Linked DNA regions of Coturnix japonica. The protein of the gene in region 2 purifies or fractionates together with the protein of the main gene of each other region. This does not show direct contact. Links are inferred from orthologs where the notes say so. Each region holds a gene or a part of one and is shown on either strand. Other genes may lie near its edges.

The links.
Region 1: the proteins of CABIN1 (region 2) and UBN1 purify together in Homo sapiens (affinity purification with western blotting; 6 studies listed by BioGRID, with this or other methods). This does not show direct contact. The link is inferred for Coturnix japonica from reciprocal best matches to the Homo sapiens genes CABIN1 and UBN1.

What each region holds. Positions count from the first base shown.
Region 1 is NC_029529.1:11,634,198-11,644,502, reverse strand, and holds part of UBN1 (ubinuclein-1), read right to left. Parts: intron 7,879-10,305; coding exon 7,808-7,878; intron 6,862-7,807; coding exon 6,732-6,861; intron 6,507-6,731; coding exon 6,388-6,506; intron 5,905-6,387; coding exon 5,776-5,904; intron 4,838-5,775; coding exon 4,694-4,837; intron 1,911-4,693; coding exon 1,860-1,910; intron 705-1,859; coding exon 662-704; intron 335-661; coding exon 1-334. UniProt on the Homo sapiens protein: Acts as a novel regulator of senescence. Involved in the formation of senescence-associated heterochromatin foci (SAHF), which represses expression of proliferation-promoting genes. Binds to proliferation-promoting genes.
Region 2 is NC_029530.1:7,169,219-7,179,523, forward strand, and holds part of CABIN1 (calcineurin-binding protein cabin-1), read left to right. Parts: intron 1-233; coding exon 234-414; intron 415-926; coding exon 927-1,056; intron 1,057-1,420; coding exon 1,421-1,570; intron 1,571-2,031; coding exon 2,032-2,324; intron 2,325-2,640; coding exon 2,641-2,809; intron 2,810-3,167; coding exon 3,168-3,304; intron 3,305-3,679; coding exon 3,680-3,897; intron 3,898-4,579; coding exon 4,580-4,658; intron 4,659-4,902; coding exon 4,903-5,090; intron 5,091-5,562; coding exon 5,563-5,712; intron 5,713-6,472; coding exon 6,473-6,661; intron 6,662-7,359; coding exon 7,360-7,596; intron 7,597-8,299; coding exon 8,300-8,453; intron 8,454-8,694; coding exon 8,695-8,810; intron 8,811-10,305. UniProt on the Homo sapiens protein: May be required for replication-independent chromatin assembly. May serve as a negative regulator of T-cell receptor (TCR) signaling via inhibition of calcineurin. Inhibition of activated calcineurin is dependent on both PKC and calcium signals.

The DNA.
Region 1 (10,305 bases), on a different chromosome or scaffold from region 2:
GAATCTTCTCAGGTGGAGCTTTTGGAGCTCCAGGAAGAGGAAAGTCAGGGCTCCCTCCTGCTCTGCTGTTCAACACAGCCAGTTCCTTGGAGACTGCTTCAAGGGAGGAAGTAGGATTATGAATTAAATCTTCATCCAAAGAGTTGTCCATGAAGGCAGCAGGAGTAGTAGTGCTGTTGGCTGCTTGTGCTGTCCCAAGGGACAGGAGTTCTCTGGTCTGGGCACTGATGTTAAGACTTCCTGCCTGGGATTCTGATGACAGAGCTACGGTGTTGCTTGAATGTACTGATGGAACAGAAACAGCCACCTTTTTATCAGGTTTAGAGGAGAGTTCCTGGAACAAAATAACAACAGAAAGCAAAGTCAAAACAGAGGCAGAATGTAATGCTGAGAAGGGAAGGAAAGGTCCCTGATTTTGGGATGAAAGGTGTGATACCTGTCCGATGACAGGTACCCTCCTTCCAGGCTGGTACTCCTGCTGCCATCAGTTCTAGCTGCTGTCCTAATTCTTTCCTCAAGCACAGTGCAGACTGCTGCTGTTTAAGAATACAACTTCCTTACATCTATGCATAGATACAAAGCTCAAGTATAGGACCTAGGATGGCAGTCTCTCAACTACTGGGATATATCAAATGTGTGTACCAAAAAACACAGAACTCACCTTCCCCTTCACTTTAGTAGGAGCGACAACCTTCTTCTTCGCCCTGTTTCAAGGGAGACAAAGAAAACATGGGTTCACTGAGTGCCTGTAGGGAAGCATCCAGTCAGGGGCCCTGTTAATGATGATCCACTGAGTCTTTTGCAAAGAACAGAGGCAGCATCTCAGGTTGCTAGGATTCAAAATCGTATGACATTTGTTGCTGCCCTAGGAAGTCCCAGCTCCCACACAGGGGAACGATTTAGGGAGCAGAGCAGAGTATCTGAAATGGTTGCAGAGCAGTGAAAGCACTCAACAGACACATCCTGCATCAGCTGCAGGGCTACGAGCTACAGAAGCCCACTGCTGACCTAAATATAGCAACACCCAGAGAGAAATGGATACACAGGCTATTTTAGAGGGGAAAAAAAACTACACACTTCTTTTAGATTCCCAGAAGAAGTCAAAGATGCAAAAGCATCTGCCAAATTCATGGAAAATAGATCATTTGGTCTGGTCAGATGCAATCACCGGTACAAGACATCCCTGAGCTGCTGGAGAGGTATGGCTGAGGGAAGGATGACTCTACATTCTATTTCATACCCTTTCTCTGCTTCCCCTCATTCATCCAATGCCAAGAACAGGACCAGCTGTCAAACAGATACCAGCCTAAATCTATATCGTTGTCTGTTACATGCTGCCAGCAAGATCCATGAGGCCCTTAGGCCTTAAGGCACCTGCCCAGCTGGATTCCGATGGATCCCTTGGTTTGTCACCCACAGGTCTGTTTCTCCCATTCTCATTGCCTTGAGCTCATCGTACCTCTGCTTTAATCTGGCAGCAAGGAAGAGGGAATCCAGAATCCAGTAAGGATTAACTGAATAGGTGGCAATAAACACAGTGCTGGCACCACAGTCCATTTTACTCAACTGTCTCCCAGGGCCTAGCACAGAAGCCTGACTCCAGCCTGCTGAACAAGGCCAGGAGGCAACCTGGCATCAAAGGTCATTCTCTGAGCCTGCTGTAAGGCCCAGGCACCTCAGAAAGGCTTTTGCTGGGAGATGTCACACACCACTTCTCTCCTTAGACCTTCCCAAATGAAGCAGCGCCAAACTGTCTGACAGGAGCCAAACAAGCTCAGGTGTTCCTGCACGATCCACCCAGGCCCCAGGGAACGCAGATCACCAGTTATCACTCTAAAGGAATGCTGCACGATACTCACAGGACTGATGTGAGGTGTCCGTGTACACGCCTGCTCTCCTTAAACAGTGTCCTAAGAAGGGAAGAGAGCAATGAGAAGTGATATCCAGCAAGACCCAGTAGAGCAGCTGGGATCACTGGAGACAGAGCTGCACAGAACAGCAGGGGACTTAGTGAAATTAAAACCATGGAGCAAACAAATATTCATCCATTTTCAAGGAAAATCCTCTTGAACTCCCTCACTCCATTCCCTCACTGGGGAGCTAAGCTTGTAGGCGCTGGAAGGGCCATTAAGGCAGTGTGGTTGGACAGTAGCTAAGGAATGAGCTGACAGTCAATTGGAGAGACAGCACGGCCATTCAGGCTGAGTGTTGCTGCTACCAGAGATCATCAAGAGCTGGCAGATCATCCAGGAGCTCTCCACCATGTTTAAGGAAGAGAGGTTTCCTTTCCCTTCTTTATATATAGCAATATGGATGAGAAGCCTTCACACACTGCATTGCTGCTGCCTTTGCATCCCAAAAGACAGAAGTGCCTTTGCAAATCAGCAAAACCATTTCTTCAATTGTCTAGACACAACTAATAAACAGAACTTCATCCAAAAGCCATTAGTGTTAAGGATAAGTAAACCAGAATCTTATGCAAGCAATGTTTCACCTACAACAGCTGCCACTCAGCTGGTTTCTTAGATCAAGGTGAGCTTATAAACATACCATCAATGCTGGCATATGGAACACACGCTTTCCTTCTGCTATTATCATACTCAGTTTTTAAGGCAAGGAACTTTTGTCATCCATTTTCTTTTAAAAAGCTCACATACTTTAACCTTTTAGTCTTACATTAATTGCCTTTTAGTGCTAACCAAGAAAACAGAATCATGGCAGAGCCTCTCTGAACTCAAACACAAAGCTGACACTCCATTCCCCTTGAGGTTCCTTTTAAAGACGAACTCGTGAGCTCACAGTGACAGCAAATCAAGCTGATTTGTCCACAAAAGTGTTTACAGCTCTCCTAGTATCGCAACCCCTCCCCCCCCCCTCCACGTCTGCCTGGCTGGTAGGCAACACTCTGTCCTTAAAAGTCCCAAAAGAAAAAACATTGTCCTTTAGCCACTGAGAAGCAATTAGGGAAACCGCTTTTCTTCAGTCATTCCTGCACTCAGCTTCATTGGAAGATTCTCCTACAGTGAGTCTTGGAAGAACATCTGTATGCTTAATAACAGTTTTACCTACAAATTCAGGGAAAAGATTTCCATTTCCTTCTATTCCAAGAGGTTTCAAAGTTGGTGAGCTGAGACCACCCCCAAACTGGTAATGTCTTTATTAAGGAGGAGTCCGCACCCACTTTTTCTAATGCCATCCTTTAGCTCCCACACTACAGCACACTACAACCATGCGCAGTACTGCACCTCATGGACAAGTGCAACTGCAGTAAACTGCCATGGTAGTTTTCCAGATGGATTTGTAATTTGCTTCTCACACTTACTGCTCTTAAGAGCTGGTACCCATTAAATCATAAAAAAGTTCATCAGAGAAAAGATCATAGTGCTATCCAGGTCTGTAAGCGCAAAGAGACTGAAGTTCCAGCAGTAGGACTGCACACTTGTCATTGTTTTAAACCTAGTGAGCAAAACAAGGCAGGCCAGGAACTGATGACGCTCTCAATAGAATGATGCTCTGCAACTGGTGTGGCTCTCTGCAATCATCAGCTCAGTGACAAGGATGATAGACGGCATTTAAAAGCAGGAAACAGCAATCAAGACACGAATGTGATTTTCTTTACCCCTTCCCAATTCCTACTTATTCTGCTGCCTCTGTGCAAGTCCCACAGTTGCTAAAGTCTTTCACTTTGCTTTCTCTTGGGAACACTCTAAGCTCTAGGAAAGATTTCCCCAAGTGTCTGATAAGGTCTTTGGTGATACGGGTTCAGGAAACCACAGGCCTCAGCTCAGTGCCAATCCTGATTCATAACTTGTCACACCCAGCAGCACCCATCAGAGGTCAATGCCAAGGCCAAGACCACTCAATACTGTCACTAGCAACCTGGATGACAGACACACGCTGGACTCTCAGTAAGTTTGTGTAAGTTGTAAGTAAGACATGGAAACAGGGTGGGCAGGGTTGCCACTCACAGGGACCTTGACAGGAACCTTGAGAAGTTCAACAAAGACAAACACAAGTCCTGCAGCTGGCATGGAATAACCCCATGCAGACACACAGGCTCAGGGCCAACTTGAGGTTGTCCTTGAGTACAATCTGAACTCACTGCTTAAAGGGCACACGGCTGGAAGATAACTAAATTCTGGTGCCCAGCTAACAGCATGAGTGCTTACTCTCCTCTGTTTAGTACTTGTGAAGTTGCATCTGTACAGTGTCCAGTTTCAGGGCCCACACAATACAAGAGAGATGCTGACAAACTGGAGGCAGTCCAGAGCCCATGAGATGGCTGAGGACAGGAACACGTGACATGGAGAATATGAGTTTGCTCAGCCTGGAAAACCTTAAGACTAAAGAGGGATCTAACAGCAGTCTTCCACTAGTCCAAGAGTTCTGGGTACAGGGAGCCACAAAGAAGACAGAGGTACCTATTTCATTTTGCCATTTCAGTGCAGCAAGGGCAATTCAGATTGAAAATAAAGAGAAAAGACTTGTGAAAAGCGACACATATCAGAACAGTGGCCCAGAGATGCTGTCACAATCTCCATCCACAGAGACTTTCAAAACTCAGAAGGACACAGCCCTGACCGACCTGACCTAAGTTTGAAACTAACTGTTTTTTGAACAGGGATAGGACTAACGACCTTCAGAAGTCCCTTATGATAAAGAATCCCTAGAGTACAACATTATTCTTGCTCACCTGGCCTGCATCCAGCCTTTTGGCCATAGGGGCTTCACCTCTCCATCTAGGAAGGTCTTCACATAATCCTCCAGAGACTGAGCCTTATTCTTGTCATACTCATAACCATCCAATTTAATCTTCACCAAGTGGCAAAGCAGCTCCCTGAAGAACAGGAAGATTTCAAATACAGTTACTTGGATTTATTTTCCCCAGATGGAGGCCGTTCCACTTATCCAGGCTGGATGAATATGCCAAGACATGCCTGGCTGTGCATAAGTACTCTGGATCAGACAGTAGCCAGCCAAGTGCAGGATTCAAGTCGAGGCATTCCAAACACCTTTCTAACAAAAAAGTCAACCCTGCACTGCTTCTGTAAGAAAGAGGCAGGGAAAGGCACGTTTCTCTGTATGCATACGCATGCACACAAATGAGCCAGAGGAGAAAGGCCTTATACTCCATAATATCCTGAAACAGCAGAGGGGGTAAATCAGTGCCAGAATTACAGGCGTCACGAACAACTGCAGACCTGAACTCCTCTGCAGGAGTTTGTGCTGAGAGCAACGGGAAGGCAGGAAGTGAAGCCCTCTTTGTTCTAAATGTATCGGCCATCTATGGAGCAGCATCCCAATTTGTCAGAATAAGATGAAAAAGACAGCATGACTGATTCTCATTTTACCCTGCGTCATTCTCCCTTTCACCCAGCACTCTGTCAGACCCTTGGGTGCAAGGGCAGCAACTCCCAAGAGTTTAAAGCTGTTTTCACAACCAGAAATCTAATCTTGTTAAGAGTCTAGTTGGTGGGATTTCAGCATTCCGTCACGTTCCTTCTTTTCCTGTCCCCTCTCTTTTGACCTCTACATAGAGGTTTCTTAGCTCTTCTCTCAGAGTTGGTTTGTACTTGAAATTGGGTTCGTTTTACAGTGTATTCCAAGTTGAGATTTACTAACTGCAATAGTGGCTTCTGCAAGCTTCCAATCTGACTGTTACTGCAAGTGATTAGTCCTGCTCTGAAACCAAGATACAAATATTAAGGTGTCTTATTCTATGCAGTTGGAAGTGAAGCAAGTCACAGGTTCACTTAATATCTAAATTATGCGAACCTTATTTCATCATTCCATTGAAATTTCTTTCGTGGTCCCGTGACGCGTTTCCCTCCCTTTTCATCATCCTCATCATCATCAGAGCAAACTCGATCTCGCTGCTCTCTGTCCTTTTCCTCTTCCAGCATTCTAAAATAGAGATGAAGACAGTGTGGAAGTCATCGTCCTGGCTAATCCAAAACCAGGATAAATCTCCGAACAGTACTGTTCAGAAGTCTCACAGATGAGTGATAATAAGCTCTCAAAACAGGGCCTAAACCTCTTGCTTAAGGTGGAAGCTGAGCTAAGCACTCAGTGTTAATGTATTTCCCACTGCTGTGTAATAGAGACCACAGAGATCCAGCCTGTCTGCTTTCAGACTGACACGTTTCTAAAAACATGCCCGGGCAGAAGTGAAACACTTCAGCCAAATTCTGCTCCTATCAATGCTGCTGTAGGTGGCATCAGTACAGATAGTACAAAGAACACACACTGCTTAATTAGGGCGATTAACGGCTGTCAGCAATTCTGGAGTACAGGAAAAAAAAGTAGGTGATAAACTTCAGGAAAGCAGTTTACAGGGAACTTGTTGAGAAGAGTTACAGATGCATAACAAGCGAATGATGAGCTTACTTGACAAATTTGGCCTGAGTATGGGCTTGGCATTCCTCCTGGTACTTCGCCATCTGCTCTGGCATGGCTCTACCAATGGCTTCCTTCAGCTTCTGCAGAGGCTCCTTCAGTCGTCCACCCTAGAGCACATCACAGAACAGACTGAGGCTCCACACTGTGCTCCAGATAAGACACCCAAATTCAGCAGGATGAGATTTTGCCAATTCTGAACCCACACCACCAGATGGGGCGGACTAAAGTATGTTTGAGTGGAGGACAACAGCACACCATGCAGACAACAACTGTGCTCTGGAGATCAGGGTAACATGCATGGGAGACAAGGCTGTGCTGCCAACATCACTCACCTGCTCATAGAGATAAAGCTTACGGGCACGCTTGACTAGAGTGTCCTTACTGCACGGTAAGAATGCAGCCAGGTGGGTGTACACCCCTGACCGAATCTGGCTGTTCAGCTCCCTGGTCTGCAGTTCTATGCTGAAAAACAAGACAAACACAAACACTGAGCAGAGACCTGGCATGGGATCCCTAAGCAACAGAAAGGCAACTTTGGAACAACCTGGGGAGCTGAAGGCAGAGGGTGAAAGTTCAAGGCCAATCCATAGAATCATCACAGAATCTCTTCCAACCCAAGCCATTTCATGTTACAGACTTGCCTTTCCCCCTCCCCTCCCCCAGGTTAGGCTGCCAAGGGACCCATCCATGGCCTCAGGCACCTCCAGCTCTGGGCAGCAGTGCCAGGGTCTAACACTGGGATGCTAAAAGGTAGCAATCACCACTTGAAAGGAGAGGTAAACAGACTCCCCAACTTCCTGTCAGCAGCTCCCTTCAAGGGCCTTGATAAACAGAGGCATTGATTTCCTTAAGGCTGAAGTATTACACTGAGATGTTCACAAAGCTGCATGCATTCATCAGCCTTCTCCAGACACTTGAAGAAGAATGAAGCTATTGTCAGCAGCTCCTTGAAACTGCAGTGGCTTTCTACAATTGGTGGGCTCAAAGATACAGAGCAGTAATGGAGTTCCTCCCATCTTTACAGAATGCCAGCTGAATGCAGCAGCATTATTCCAGTTTAAAAATACTCCATACAGCACATAAATAGCAAAGAACATGCCTGACCTCTCTGACAGAATGAGATCTACTGTCCTTGTGTCAAGCTGAAAGAATTAAATACATGAATATGAAGCATTAGCTTGAAAACAAGAGGCTTAGATACAACTCCTCCAGCTTTCTCTTACCTCAAGTACACATATCACAACAGAAAGCCGTTTCTAGGAGACATTCATGATTTCCTAGGTGTGTTCTGTGTGGAAGGCCCACACCTCCTGCTAAACCTGCTCCTCAGTTTACCAAAAAGCAATGCTCTCCCCAGCATTCTCCTTTCCTTACGTTAGCCCCAATCCTCAACCCACACAGCACTTACTCCAGTATGATATTGTTGATGTCCTGAGTGAAGAATTTCTGTTTGCCTTCTCCCTCTGCAGCTCTCGCAGCCTGGAAAATAGAAGTCAACATTTCAAATACCAATATAGACGGGCATAAGGAATCAAAAGCTTATTTTAAAAACCACTTCAAAAATACTGCAAAACAAAGCAGAGTTATTTCACTGAGTTCTCCACCAAATACCTGCTTGTAAGTGGACTAAAAACTGCCAAAAATAAGGGATACCTCTTAGGTATCCTCAATTTGAGTCCAACTCTACCACCTGGGCTGGTATGGTCATGTCACATTCACACACCTTTCCATTCTGGATTCTGGATGTGCTGCTGTTGTGTACAGTGGAGCTGTAACATCATAGTCAAGACTCCTTTGCTTAAAGTGGGAAAGGAGATGGCTTAGAGGCAACTGGCTTCCCTGGCATTATTCTCATGGGAAGAAGGGACAGATTTAGGACACGGCCTTAACTTCCCGGTAGAAGTGTTAGATTGAGCAATAGAAACATAGAGCTTGTCCTGGAACAGGAAAGATCAGCCAAGTCACACTTAATGAGGGGCAAGGATACTTATCAGCATGTTTTCTAGGCCAGTCTGGACACCGAGTCAAGAAACAAATAGAAAGAACAGTAGCCACAGGGGATCTGTTATTTCCTGTCAACACCGTGGAAATTAAAATATCCTATTCAAGAAGCTTCCTGAGTTACAACAGCAGCTCACAAAGCATCGTCCCCCCCAAAAAAAAGAAATCACACCTATGAAAAACATGTCCAACAGAAAAATAATTCCAAGAGATGGATGACAGCAGAAAGGTGCCACAAAGAGTTCACAATCTGTTGAGTGTGGCAGAACCGATGTAGACAAAAGTGGGATTCACCACAGTGCACCATCATGTCAGGTTAGTGATTCCTTGCAAGGGAAAGGGGATCAAAGGAGAAGTAAAGGATTTTGACATCTCCTGATTTAACCTACTGAGATTCAGGCTGGTGAGCAGTAAGATTATGCCAAGAAGGTATGTACATTCCCGAAGCAATCTCCATCAGCAGGTCACAGAAGACTGGCAGTGCCAAAGGAGAAGGTTCAGTGCTGAAGGGAACCCTCAACATGAGAAGTCTTTTAGGAAGGAGAGGGTTAAAATGAAATCAGTGCAAGCAGAAGATGAAATTCCTGGAGAGTCCATTTAACCCATGAGCCGCTCCCATCTGCTGGGACAGAAGGAACCTGGTTCTCATGGCAGAGAGGCAGCTCTCCATTCCAACCCACAACAGAGCTCATGCCTCAAAGTCCTAACTGACCCATAGGCATTAAATCTTGCATTTCGTGCTCAACTTCTTATCTTAACAGTACAGAGTCCATCAACATGAGACACTGCAGCAGGAAAATCTGGGGTAGCCTGCTAATATACTATCTTAGAGCAGCATAATGATTAACTTAGTAGTATAGGAGATCCTGCAACACTGTTTCCTTGAGGTCCCTTCCAACCCGGGTAATTCTGTGATTCTGTGATTCTGTGACTGTTCTTTAGGTCAAACACATTTCAGAAGCAGGTGCTTCAGTGTTTGCTGTTAAGAGCATGAATAGCAAATAGCAACAGCCACAAAGAAGCCCACTCTTTTCATCAGCTGCTACTTTCTTCAGTTCCTGCTTCTGTTTGCTCACCACCACGTGCACACTGTGTTCCACTGAGAAATATTATCTTTAACAGGAGCTAATCTTCAGTAACAGGAGTCATTAAGCAAGAGATGCTGAAGAGATGCTGAATGGACACTCTAAATCTCCAGAAGGCAGAACTGCAGCACTACAGTGGTATCAGTACTGTTTATGACTTAAAATCAATATTTAAAGACAAGCCTAATAGTAGAAACTAAACATCTCAGCATCTGCTGACAGGCTGATGGGGACAGCCCTCACACATCAGAGGAGCCTACAGGCTGAAATCATACTTCTCTGACATGCCAGCAGAGGGATCCCTGGCCAGCATCCAACTCTTCCCCTGCAGAAGAGCAGATCCTAAGGCAAGTCACAGTGTTCTGGAGATGGACACAGAAGACCAGCTGCAAGAGGAGCTACAGGTAAAAAGACTTGACACCAACCACCTAGAAATTAATATATTCCACTCCCTAAGCAGCATCCAAACACTGAGGTTTGAAGATAGTGAACAAAAATCACATTGCCAACAATGTGACTCCAGCCTGCGAGCTGCCAAATTGTGTATGTGCCTCAGTGAAGGCATCCATTTGCATATGACAGAGGGAACAGCTTTAACAAATCTTCAAGCCCCATCTACAGGGCTCTTTTCATGCTGCAGAACAGTAATGGTGATGCTTTGCAGCTGCACCCATCTATTTTACATACACAACTCCATGTGCCTCTTCATAAACACTGTCCTGATCATCACTGCACATTAAAACTATTATGGTGGAATTTATCCTTCAGCCCCATCAGTTCACGTTTTAAGACCACTTATGTTGAATTGGCTTTGGAAATT
Region 2 (10,305 bases):
GGATAGAGTAGCCTCAATGTTTCCATCAATTTGCCAAAATACAGATGTACTCTTTTCAGCAAACATCATTTGTATGTGTGACTCAGTGCTGTGTACTTTCTGATATTTTACAGCCACCATTCAGTCCCTAAGCTAGTCATGTCTCAGTTAAAAATTAAAGCGGTCAAGGTCTCTGTAAACAAGCAGGTATGCGTGTCTGAAATGTGAATAACACTGTCTGTTATGCTTTCTAGGCTGTAATGCTGGACTCTACTGATGTCAACCTGTGGTATAAAATCGGTCGTGTGGCAATAAAACTCATCCGCCTACCGCTGGCTCGTCATGCTTTTGAAGAAGGTCTCAGGTGTAACCCTGATCACTGGCCTTGTTTAGATAACCTTATCACTATCTTGTACACACTCAGCGATTACCCAAGTAAGTACATTAGTAGACCTGTAAAGAAAAAAATCAATAAACATGTAATTTCATATTAAAAATCATGAAATGATAGTAGGTTAGGGTGTGTTGGAGATCTTTACTTCATGATGAATTTATGATGATTTGTATCTGCTCTAATTACCAGGAAAATAAATGCCCTGTGCAGTGTTTATCAGGAATTGTAAATCAGTTTGATATTGGATCTCTGCTTTTGATCTTAAAATGTTTAAGCGTTTTACCTTTGAGTGATGTCCAGTGAGTTAACTGATTCAAATGGTGTTTAGCAGAAAAGTTGCAAGATAGCAGAAATGTTGAGTTTCCTGAGTCCCATAGGTTTGCCCTACTGTAATGATCCTCATTTTATTTATGTAATTGCCCATATGAATAAAAGCCTGCTGGAATTCATTGCCCATTGCAGCAATGGAATGTGAAATTAAGACAGTTAATAATATGAAAATAGTGAATGGTGAAAGAAGAGTTTGACCTTTCCGTTTTTATTTCTCTGTCAGCATGTTTGTACTTTATCTGCAAAGCCTTGGAGAAAGATTGTCTGTACAGCAAGGGGTTGGTTCTGAAGGAGAAGATCTTCGAGGAGCAGCCTCTCCTCCAGAAAGAATCCTTAAGGATGTTCCTCAAATGGTGAATGTTATCTTATAGCCTGCACTGCATTTGGAGTGTCAACTCTTTTAATCATACACTTCATTTATTATTTTTTTTTATTTACTCTTCAAGAAAGAAAGCAGCAACTTCTGTTTTCCTTTCATTTCTCACCATTTGTAAAACAGAAGGACGCTCTCCATTTATCTTTCAGTTTTTAACTGAGCAATGGTTTCTGATGGTGAAACACTTCTATATGCATGCTGTAAAGTTTGCAAAACAGTGGGTTTTGAATGTTTTGAATGCTCGTTTTAATGCTTTGTGATACCCTACAGAAAAATACAAATCTCTCAAGACTTTTAAAAAAGCAAACAAACCCTCATCTTTGTTTCTTAATACTTTCTAGTGACATGTCTATCCATAATGTAAATGTGAGTGCAGCTGAAACAGGAAGAATCATAGATGAAGCATTGGAGCTACGTAAGAAAAGACAGGCTTTGCTGGTGCAAGAGAAAGAACCAGACCTCAAGCTGATCCAGCCAATTCCCTTTCTCACGTATGTCATATTTAGTTTATAACAGGTTTATCTGAAGCTACTTATGCTGGCAGCTATTTTGTATAAGCTTGGTTTTTGTCAAAACATATTTGTTAAAAAAAAGCACTAAAAAAGGTGACCAGTATTTTCATATTTTGAGTCTGCCGGTTGTTTGGTCTGTTTATGATTTTATTGTAAATGTATCAATTTTCAGTCTTTGATTTAACATTTCAGACTGATGATAAAGAATCTTGAGAATGATTTGGTAGCCATTCCAACTGTATCATCGGATTTTTCATTTTAGATTAGTGTGTGAACTTCAAAATAACTTTAGATTTTTATATGTTTTTACTGTTGATATAATGGAAATTTTAAAACGTAATGCAGATCTTTATTCATAGCAAGATACTTTCAAGTTGTTAAGTACATCTCTATTAAGGCACAAAGGGTTGATTTTTGTAGTGTTGTGTTTCTGTGTGCAGATGGAAATGTTTAGGAGAAGCTTTACTCGCCATGTATCACCACCTCACAACATGTGATCCTCCTCGGCCCAGTCTGGGAAAGAGAATTGATCTCTCAGAATACCGAGAACCTGTTCAGCATTTGGTTCTTTCTCCTACCTCCACTCCTGTCAGTGTTATTCAGCCAACTCCTGTCAGCACTACTGCAGTGGTGACGATGCCAGAACCTATGTTAGCTTATACTCCTGTGACACTCAATTTTCCAAGCCACAGCCAGAATTCATTGGAACCAGGAGCTACTGTAGGTGAGCAAGGTACCTCAGCTTAAGATTAAATATGTTTTTCCAACTGCATAGTTTTCAGCAAGTCTACTTACTGCAGACCAGCTTTTTTATTCAAGATACCACAGCCAGTTTATATTCAGTTGTGTTTTTAAGGTTTTGATATGTTCAAAAAGAAAATGATAAATCTTCAGTATTTCATTAGAGTAAGATAGTTTTAGCCACAAATCATCTTTTTATTTATCTTTATTAATATTTATTATTTTCCTAAAAGGGCTTCCCTCTTGTTTGATAATTTAACAGGTCAGTAACTTTTTTCTTTTTTCTTTTTTTTCAATTCTGTTTTTAGGTGATATATCTGCAGGAGATAAATCCAAGAAAGGGGTGAAGCGAAGAAGAATTACAGAAGATAGCGGTGAAACAGCAAAAAGGAGATCTGCCAGAGTTCGGAACACAAAGTGTAAGAAAGAAGAGAAGGTTGACTTTCAAGAGCTGTTGGTGAAATTCCTTCCTTCCAGGTACAGGACCTTAAACCTGCTAGACCCGATTTGTTTTGGAAGGATTCTTCTCCTTCAATCTTATACATGTTATAAAATTGTTAATGAAAACCTATTGAAAACTAATTCAAAAATGATGAAGCTTCTTGTAAGGCGAGACGATTAGAAGAAAATGCAGGTGTCAAATTGTGCAAGATCAACAAACAGGGCAGTCTTGGTTTCAACAAAATTTGTCAGTACTTTATCTCTGAGTGCGCTTCAGTTACTGTGCTTTCATCGATAAAATATGTACAATGTGCAATGCTTAGGTTTGACTTAACAGTGAAGGAAAGAATGAGGATTTTGTTGGTATAGTGTTTTTGTCCTCCTTTCAACACAGATTAAGGAAAATAGATCCAGAGGAGGAGGAGGACCCTTTCAATAACTATGAGGTGCAGTCAGAAATTAAAGAAGAGAATTTCCAACATGTTGGACCTCATAGAATGTCATTTGATTCTACGACATTCATGGAATCTGGTAAAGAACTCATTAGAACTTCTCTTTTCCTGTTGGTTCTTCTGTCTTGCATGCTTTTCTGTATTCCCTGTCTTATATATGGAAGAAGGATATGAAAGGGTATGTTTTAATATCACATAATTGTACTTTAATCTCAATTAGTAATGTGATTTTGAAGTCTTGGGGACTGGTTAATTACTGTGTGCAAGCACTGTGTTGCATGGAGTTGCCCATTTAAACATATCAGAGCACAGTAACTTAATTCTGCCTCTGCAGCACAAGATGATACTGTGGCCCTTTTGTAAGTGCATAAAACACTGTCAAAACTAACTTATTTCAGGTCACAGCTTATCTTGATCTTAGTTATGCACAGCTTTGCTTTTATTTGCTTTCTAGAAAAGCAAGATGTTCATGAATTCCTGCTGGATAACTTGAACAATGGTGGTATCTTGGAGCTAATGATGAGATATCTGAAGGTTATCAGCCAGAAGTTCCTGGTGAAGTGGCCTCCTGGCTTGTCTGAGGTTGTCCTTACTATCTATACTAGCTGGAGAAAGCACAGTACAAGTCTTCCCAATCCTTTACTGAGGGACTCAAGTAATCAGCATATCAAGGTTATTTATTTATTTATTTATTTTTAATATCAGTATTGTTTCTACTTAGTTGCAGATGAAAAAACAAATTCAGAACTCTGTGCTCCATTGATTTTTAGATTAAAAAAAAAAAAACACACACACAAAAATACAGTGTTGTTGTGTATTGGATGTCCAAATTTTATACATCTAGTGCTATTGTATATTTGTGTATTTTTGTATATACATCCTTTTTTTTAACAAATTCAAATATGTCTTATAACTTCGTGTTAGGTAAAATTTAAAGAGTCAATACTTCATTATGATGCCATTGAAATCACTGTCCTCATGCTTGTCTTTTCCCTTTAATTCCTGAGTTTATTAAACTTGATCTGTAAATTATACTAAATGTGATGAATTCGGAGGTTTTGAGAATCCAGAATGCTACTCTGATACTGTGCACTTTTGGACCTTTAAAAATTGTCATAAGTTCATGGCTTTTACAGATGAATTTGTAACCCTTCTTTCTATGAATATAAAGTATATTCTTCACTACACAAAACTGCCTGACAGATACCCACGGTGCTTTCTAGTGTACTGCTGAACTTTATCATTCATGCATTAATAAACTGGTACGACTAGAATGCATATTCAGTGTCATGGGAACGATGACTATTTTTAATTTTTCTCTCTCTTTTTTCCCAACTTCACACTTTTTCTGCAGGATATGATGTTGATGAGCCTTTCCTGCATGGAACTGCAATTAGATCAGTGGCTGCTGGCAAAAGGGAAGAACTCTACAGGTGAGAGTCAGGTGCTTCTTTCTCTATTCTAAAAATACTGTAGGTAAATTAAGAAACTATTCCAGGAATTCACTGGATTCTTTGGAGCTGTCTCTTCTATATTCTCTGTATACACATCTGAAAGGTGCTTATTACTGGTGTGTCATTTGTCTTCGAGTAGATCAGTAGGTTTTAAATAACTGGTATGTGGGACTCTTCTCATGGGATGCTGGTAACTTTATGATAAAACATAATTGATTTACAGTTTCTCCACGAAATTGCCCTGCTGTCTCTGTGAGCGGAAAGTTTGGTTCTGACTTGCCTGGAATTCATTTCTTGGGAGACCTGCTGCAGTTATCGTTTGCATCCTCACAGCGTGATTTATTTGAGGAGGGCTGGATGGAGTTTGTCACTCGGGTGTATTGGCTGAAAGCTCGCTTTCTAGCGCTTCAGGTTGGTTCTACTCTTGTTATAACAAAACTTTTCTCAGCAATTGAAAGTCATGTTATTCTCAGTTTATTTTAAGTGTGAGGGTTAAATCAGTTTAAGACAGTTAAAAGCATCCTCTTAGTGGAATACAAGGATGTTTCTTGACTCAGTGTTTTGATCAGTATGACTGGAAGAATTATTTCTACTAATTACTTTTTTGTGTTCTTAAAAGAGTTGGAGTTTAATCCAAATTAATCCTTCCAATTCAAGTTGAATTCTATTTCTCTGATTTGTTTTACCTATTACAAAAGTCACTGATAAAATATACTTTATTTGCTTGCTTTGGTTTGCTATTTTGGATTTGTTTTTATGTGTAATAATCACATTGGCAATGCCTACACTGAATCCAAACATTTCGTATGTGCTTTGGAAAGACATTTTGCAGACATAACTCTATTTTTTTTACTATTTTCCCTCCCCCACTGTACTTCTGTAGGGAGACATGGAACAGGCACTTGAAAACTATGACATTTGCACTGAAATGCTGCAGAGTGCCACTACAATGCGGCGTAAAGCTGGTGATGACAGCAACATCATAATACGGTTACCTAATCTGCATGTGGATTCTGTGGTTTCTTTAGAAGAGGTAAGAATTCATTTGCAGGAGTATTCTCCCTGTTCCACCCCTCCCAGTCTCTAAGCCCAATCTATGAATCGGCTCTTTTGTGATGAAAGCTTACCTAGAAATTTTGTCCTAGAAATTTTCCAAGAGTAAAGGAACAGGTTCAGAGTTTAATGATGATGTTATGGCCATCATCTCTTCTTCAAGAAGATGCCTTTCAGATCTCTTGGTTTTGTACAACTTATGATTGTTTTTATGCAGAATAAAAAGGTTTTTCTATTAGAGGCACTGCATGTGCAGTGGTAGATTATTAAACCACTGTTTTATTTTCTGTTCTATGAATATAACTTCCACTGATGGTTAAATGAGTTTCTTTTTTTAGGAGCTGGTGTTTTCCACATAGTAATTTTCATACACATTTGAATAAAAGGCTATTAATTTTCCATTCTTTCTTTAGCTGTTTAGGAGAGTCAACTCCAATGCAGGTTGTGCAATCTTCACTTTAAAGTCTATCTGATGGACGTATTTTTGCTTTTAAGTGTCTTATTCAGGGATCTGAGGCAAAAAAGTGTATTATTACACATTAGTCACATACTATATGATAAAGAAAAGTATGTGGAACAGCTGAAGAGTTACGTAGTAGGTGTTGTCTACCTGATTTGCATTCCTGGACATATTTGTAGAGTTAACACAGCTTTATAGCTGAAGTGTGAGGTGAAGGGGCACTGCCTTTGTGTGTGAAGACAAAATGAAGATTGGATTGTGCCATGTGTGATATTTGCAGATCGATAAAAACTTAAAATCTCTGGAGAGATGCCAGTCTTTGGAAGAGATCCAGCGACTGTATGAGACAGGGGATTATGCTGCAGTAGTGCATCTGCTCCGCCCAACATTATGCTTCAGTGGAAGAGTAAAACATCTGGAGTTTGTAACATCCATACCAGAGAGACCAGCACAGCTGCTTCTCCTGCAGGTTTGTTGGTGATTTTACAGCCATTCTGAACCCAAAGCTTTGAAAAAGCTGTGTAGTGTATGGGTGGTTTCGTGTTGTGGCGTACCTGTCCTGCATGGATGACAAACTGTTGGTAGATAGATCCAGTATAACAGCTGCATCAGTAATCCACATAATACTGAAAATAGGCATACAAATTACCTCAGTTGTGGGAGGGGTTGGAGCTGTCAGGTTTTCTGTCTGGGGGAAAAAGAATCACAAGAAAGACTAATGCTGCTTTAGCTGGACTGAGCCAAATCCAACAGCCTTGTTGCAATCTCATTTACCTACACTTGAATATAAAGAATCAAGAAGGGTGTTGTAATACTGGCCTTGTAGTTGCTATTTTGACATTTATGGAGTAATTAAATGATAGCCTAAGAATATAAGCTGTGTATGGTTAGAATTTAATAAACGTGTAGGCATCATGTTCTTGAAAATGTGTATTTCATGCCTCTTATTCAAGTAGAAATTCATATTCTACGTGTATATTTATCATCCAAGATCTGGACTCATCCTGTTGTCCTTTAATGTGATATGAAGGTGTTTACTTCAACTGAGTGTAACGAACTGTCTTATCTGTATGATGTGTACAGCCTTCCTTTGCTGTATTCATTTTAATTATTTTAAGAGTATACTCTTCATCTTTTTTTTTTTTTTTTCATGTTTACATTCTTTAGGACTCTTTGCTTAAGCTGAAAGATTACAAGCAATGCTTTGAATGCTCAGAAGTTGCCTTGAATGAAGCAACTCAGCAGATGATGAATATAACGGCAGCCTCTGCTAAAGAGGAATGGGTTGCTACGGTAACACAGCTGCTCATAGGAATAGATAGTTCATTATCATCAGACAACAGCATCCTGAAAGAGTCTTCTATAACATCAAGCCTTGTTCGATTAACAACCAACCTGATTCAGGTAACCTGTTCACTGGTACTTGAAAAGAGTCACTATGTTCTGTGGACATTCAGACATGAGTACAGCTGCTGTCCAAACTGCTATCTATTCACACTGATATTTTGGGTTACAGTTTTGCTGGTACAGAGGGAAAGAAGAACATTGTCTTTGTTGTTTTAATTTTCAAGTCAGAGTGTTAGAGAGCCACTGAGTTCACCTGTTCTAGAATCAGTAAGAGTGTGGATACCTTCAAATACAAATCTGCCTGGTGTAATTAAAGAATGGTAGTAAAAGAACCAAAGGAACACAACTTTTCTTATGCTCTGTAATGAGAACAATGTGAAGACTTATTTAGCTGGCTGAGTGCATTTTGTAACTTTGTTAGGTTTAGTCATTCTTACTCACGTAAGTTATTTGTACTGTGTCTGTTAATGATTTCGACTCATCTTTTACATTGGCTGTGCTCTCCAGCTGTTATATTTTCTTCTGTGCATTTATTCACTTTGAAAAGTCTGAATGTGGTATTAGCAGAGAGAACTGATTGGAAAAATGACTATGCAAGAGAAGAACATCTTCTCCCTGTTGATTGTGAGAAGCTGAAACTTAATTGAGGATTACTCCTATAGGGTAGAATATGCTATTAGCTTTGGGTTGTTCATTAAAGATTCACTCCTGACTCTTAATCTGTATCTTTTTGTGTGTGTGATGCCTGTTTCTTTCTTAGATCATAGATTGCAGCATGGCAGTCCAGGAGGAACCCAAAGAACCGTATGTCTCCTCAGTTCTTCCATGGATCATCCTACACAGGATCATCCAGCATGAAGAAGATGCTTTTCAATCCCTTTGCTGCCAGCAGCAGCAGAACCAGGGAGAAGGAGGTAACTTTTTAAAATTCATTTTTACATGCTGGAGCTGAACTTCTCTCCATCTTACTATGTAATATAAATAAAAATTACTTAGTTTGTCATCTCATCTGCTGACTGAAGGGAGTGGATGGATATACAGGCACGACATTCTTATCCCAGAGACTTATTTTTTTGCACCCGATGAAGCATTGGGTAGTTGAAGTTAACTCCGTTCTGTACTACTAAAATAACTGCCAACTTCTTTTTTTTCCAGTGAATCCTGATACTCCTATGCTGCCTTCTTCACTCATGCTTCTGAACACAGCTCATGAATATTTGGGACGAAGGTCCTGGTGCTGCAACTCAGATGGTGCTCTTCTCAAGTTCTATGTAAGTGTTGTAGAGTATCTTAGGCTGGGGGAAAAAAAAAAAACAACTTTGAAATTCATATGGCCAACACCCATCTTAAAACACTTTATTAAATTATTACATTGGTAATGTCTTCATGTTAAAGTACATTTCTGAATCCACTTTTCTTCTGCAGAGTACATCAACCTTTGTCAGTTAGGTCTGAATAGTGAAGGTTTGCTTTTTCTACTCCCCTTTCCTTTGTTATCCTTTCTAAACAGGACTTCTTGTCAGGCAGGAGTTATCTTTGAGTAACCACTTTTGTTCTATACAGACATCTTAAATGAAAGCTAGTAAATGGTCTGCCATGCCTAGAGAACCATTAAGTGATTGTGCTGAGTACATAGTCTTGTAGAGTACATCTCAGTGTGATTTCTTTACAAAAAGACTGTTTAAGAATCACGCCTGCTTGTGTTCAGTAAGCAAAGTGATATTCAAGAGTCTTAATTGTGAGAACTTTGTTAAAGAATAACGAAGAACAGCACACGCAAGAAAAATGGCAGCTTACCTAGGTGTTAGAATAAAAAATTTAATTATCCTTTTGGAAGGCAGTTCTCTAAAATCTGTCAAGTAATAAGAATATACTCCTGAGTGTTGGTATAAAACTGAAAATAAACTTGAGCAGATTACTTCCTGTCATAATTCCCTTTCTTCTTTGGACTTCTCACTGAGAGGAACAATTGCTGTCTTCCACTTTTCCTGCTTTGCTTCTTGCACTACTATTTTATTTTCCTCCTAGGATTTGAAGAAGGAAGAATGACAAGCAATCCAATAACACTGTACATCATTCACAGACTGAAAAAAACTGTGCTGTTACATCTGTAAACGTGTAATCTAATGGGATTCCACATTCATCTTAATGATTGTAAAAAGGTTTTTAACTAGATTTATGGTTGCTCAATTCACAGAACAGAATTTGCCAAGTGTTACTTAAAGGTTGTGTGTTTTCTGTTATAGGTAAATATTATCTAACACTTCAGAGAGTCTTCTAAATGAAAATTCAGTTTTGAATTTTGCAGTTAAACTTATCTCTTCTAAACTCAAGAGTGAAGATAACTAAATTTGTAGGATGTGATCTCTCCCCAGCTAGGCATCTGGAATGTTGTTGATCCCTCACAGCCTGTTTGGTGTTACCTGCATTTGGTCCTGCAGCTGTGATGTTTGTGACTGTTCTGCTGTTGCTTAATTTGGGTATTTTGATTATACCTGCAGACTGAAACAGGTAGCACTTCTATTGTTTTTGTGCTATGAGCTAAATATAACTTCAGCTTATATTTACAGAGCTGATCTATTAAACAAAGATGATAATGAAGAACTACTTAAGTCCTTCTCCCTCTGTTTCAATGCTGTTCTTTGCTCTGTTGTTCAGTTGAGTGTGTTATAAAATCTGGTATGTTCCAGCAGTGCCCAGTGTGTGTCTGGGCAGAAACATTATTAGGTGAAAGGAGTTGCCCACTCTGTTGACCTTTCCAAGATA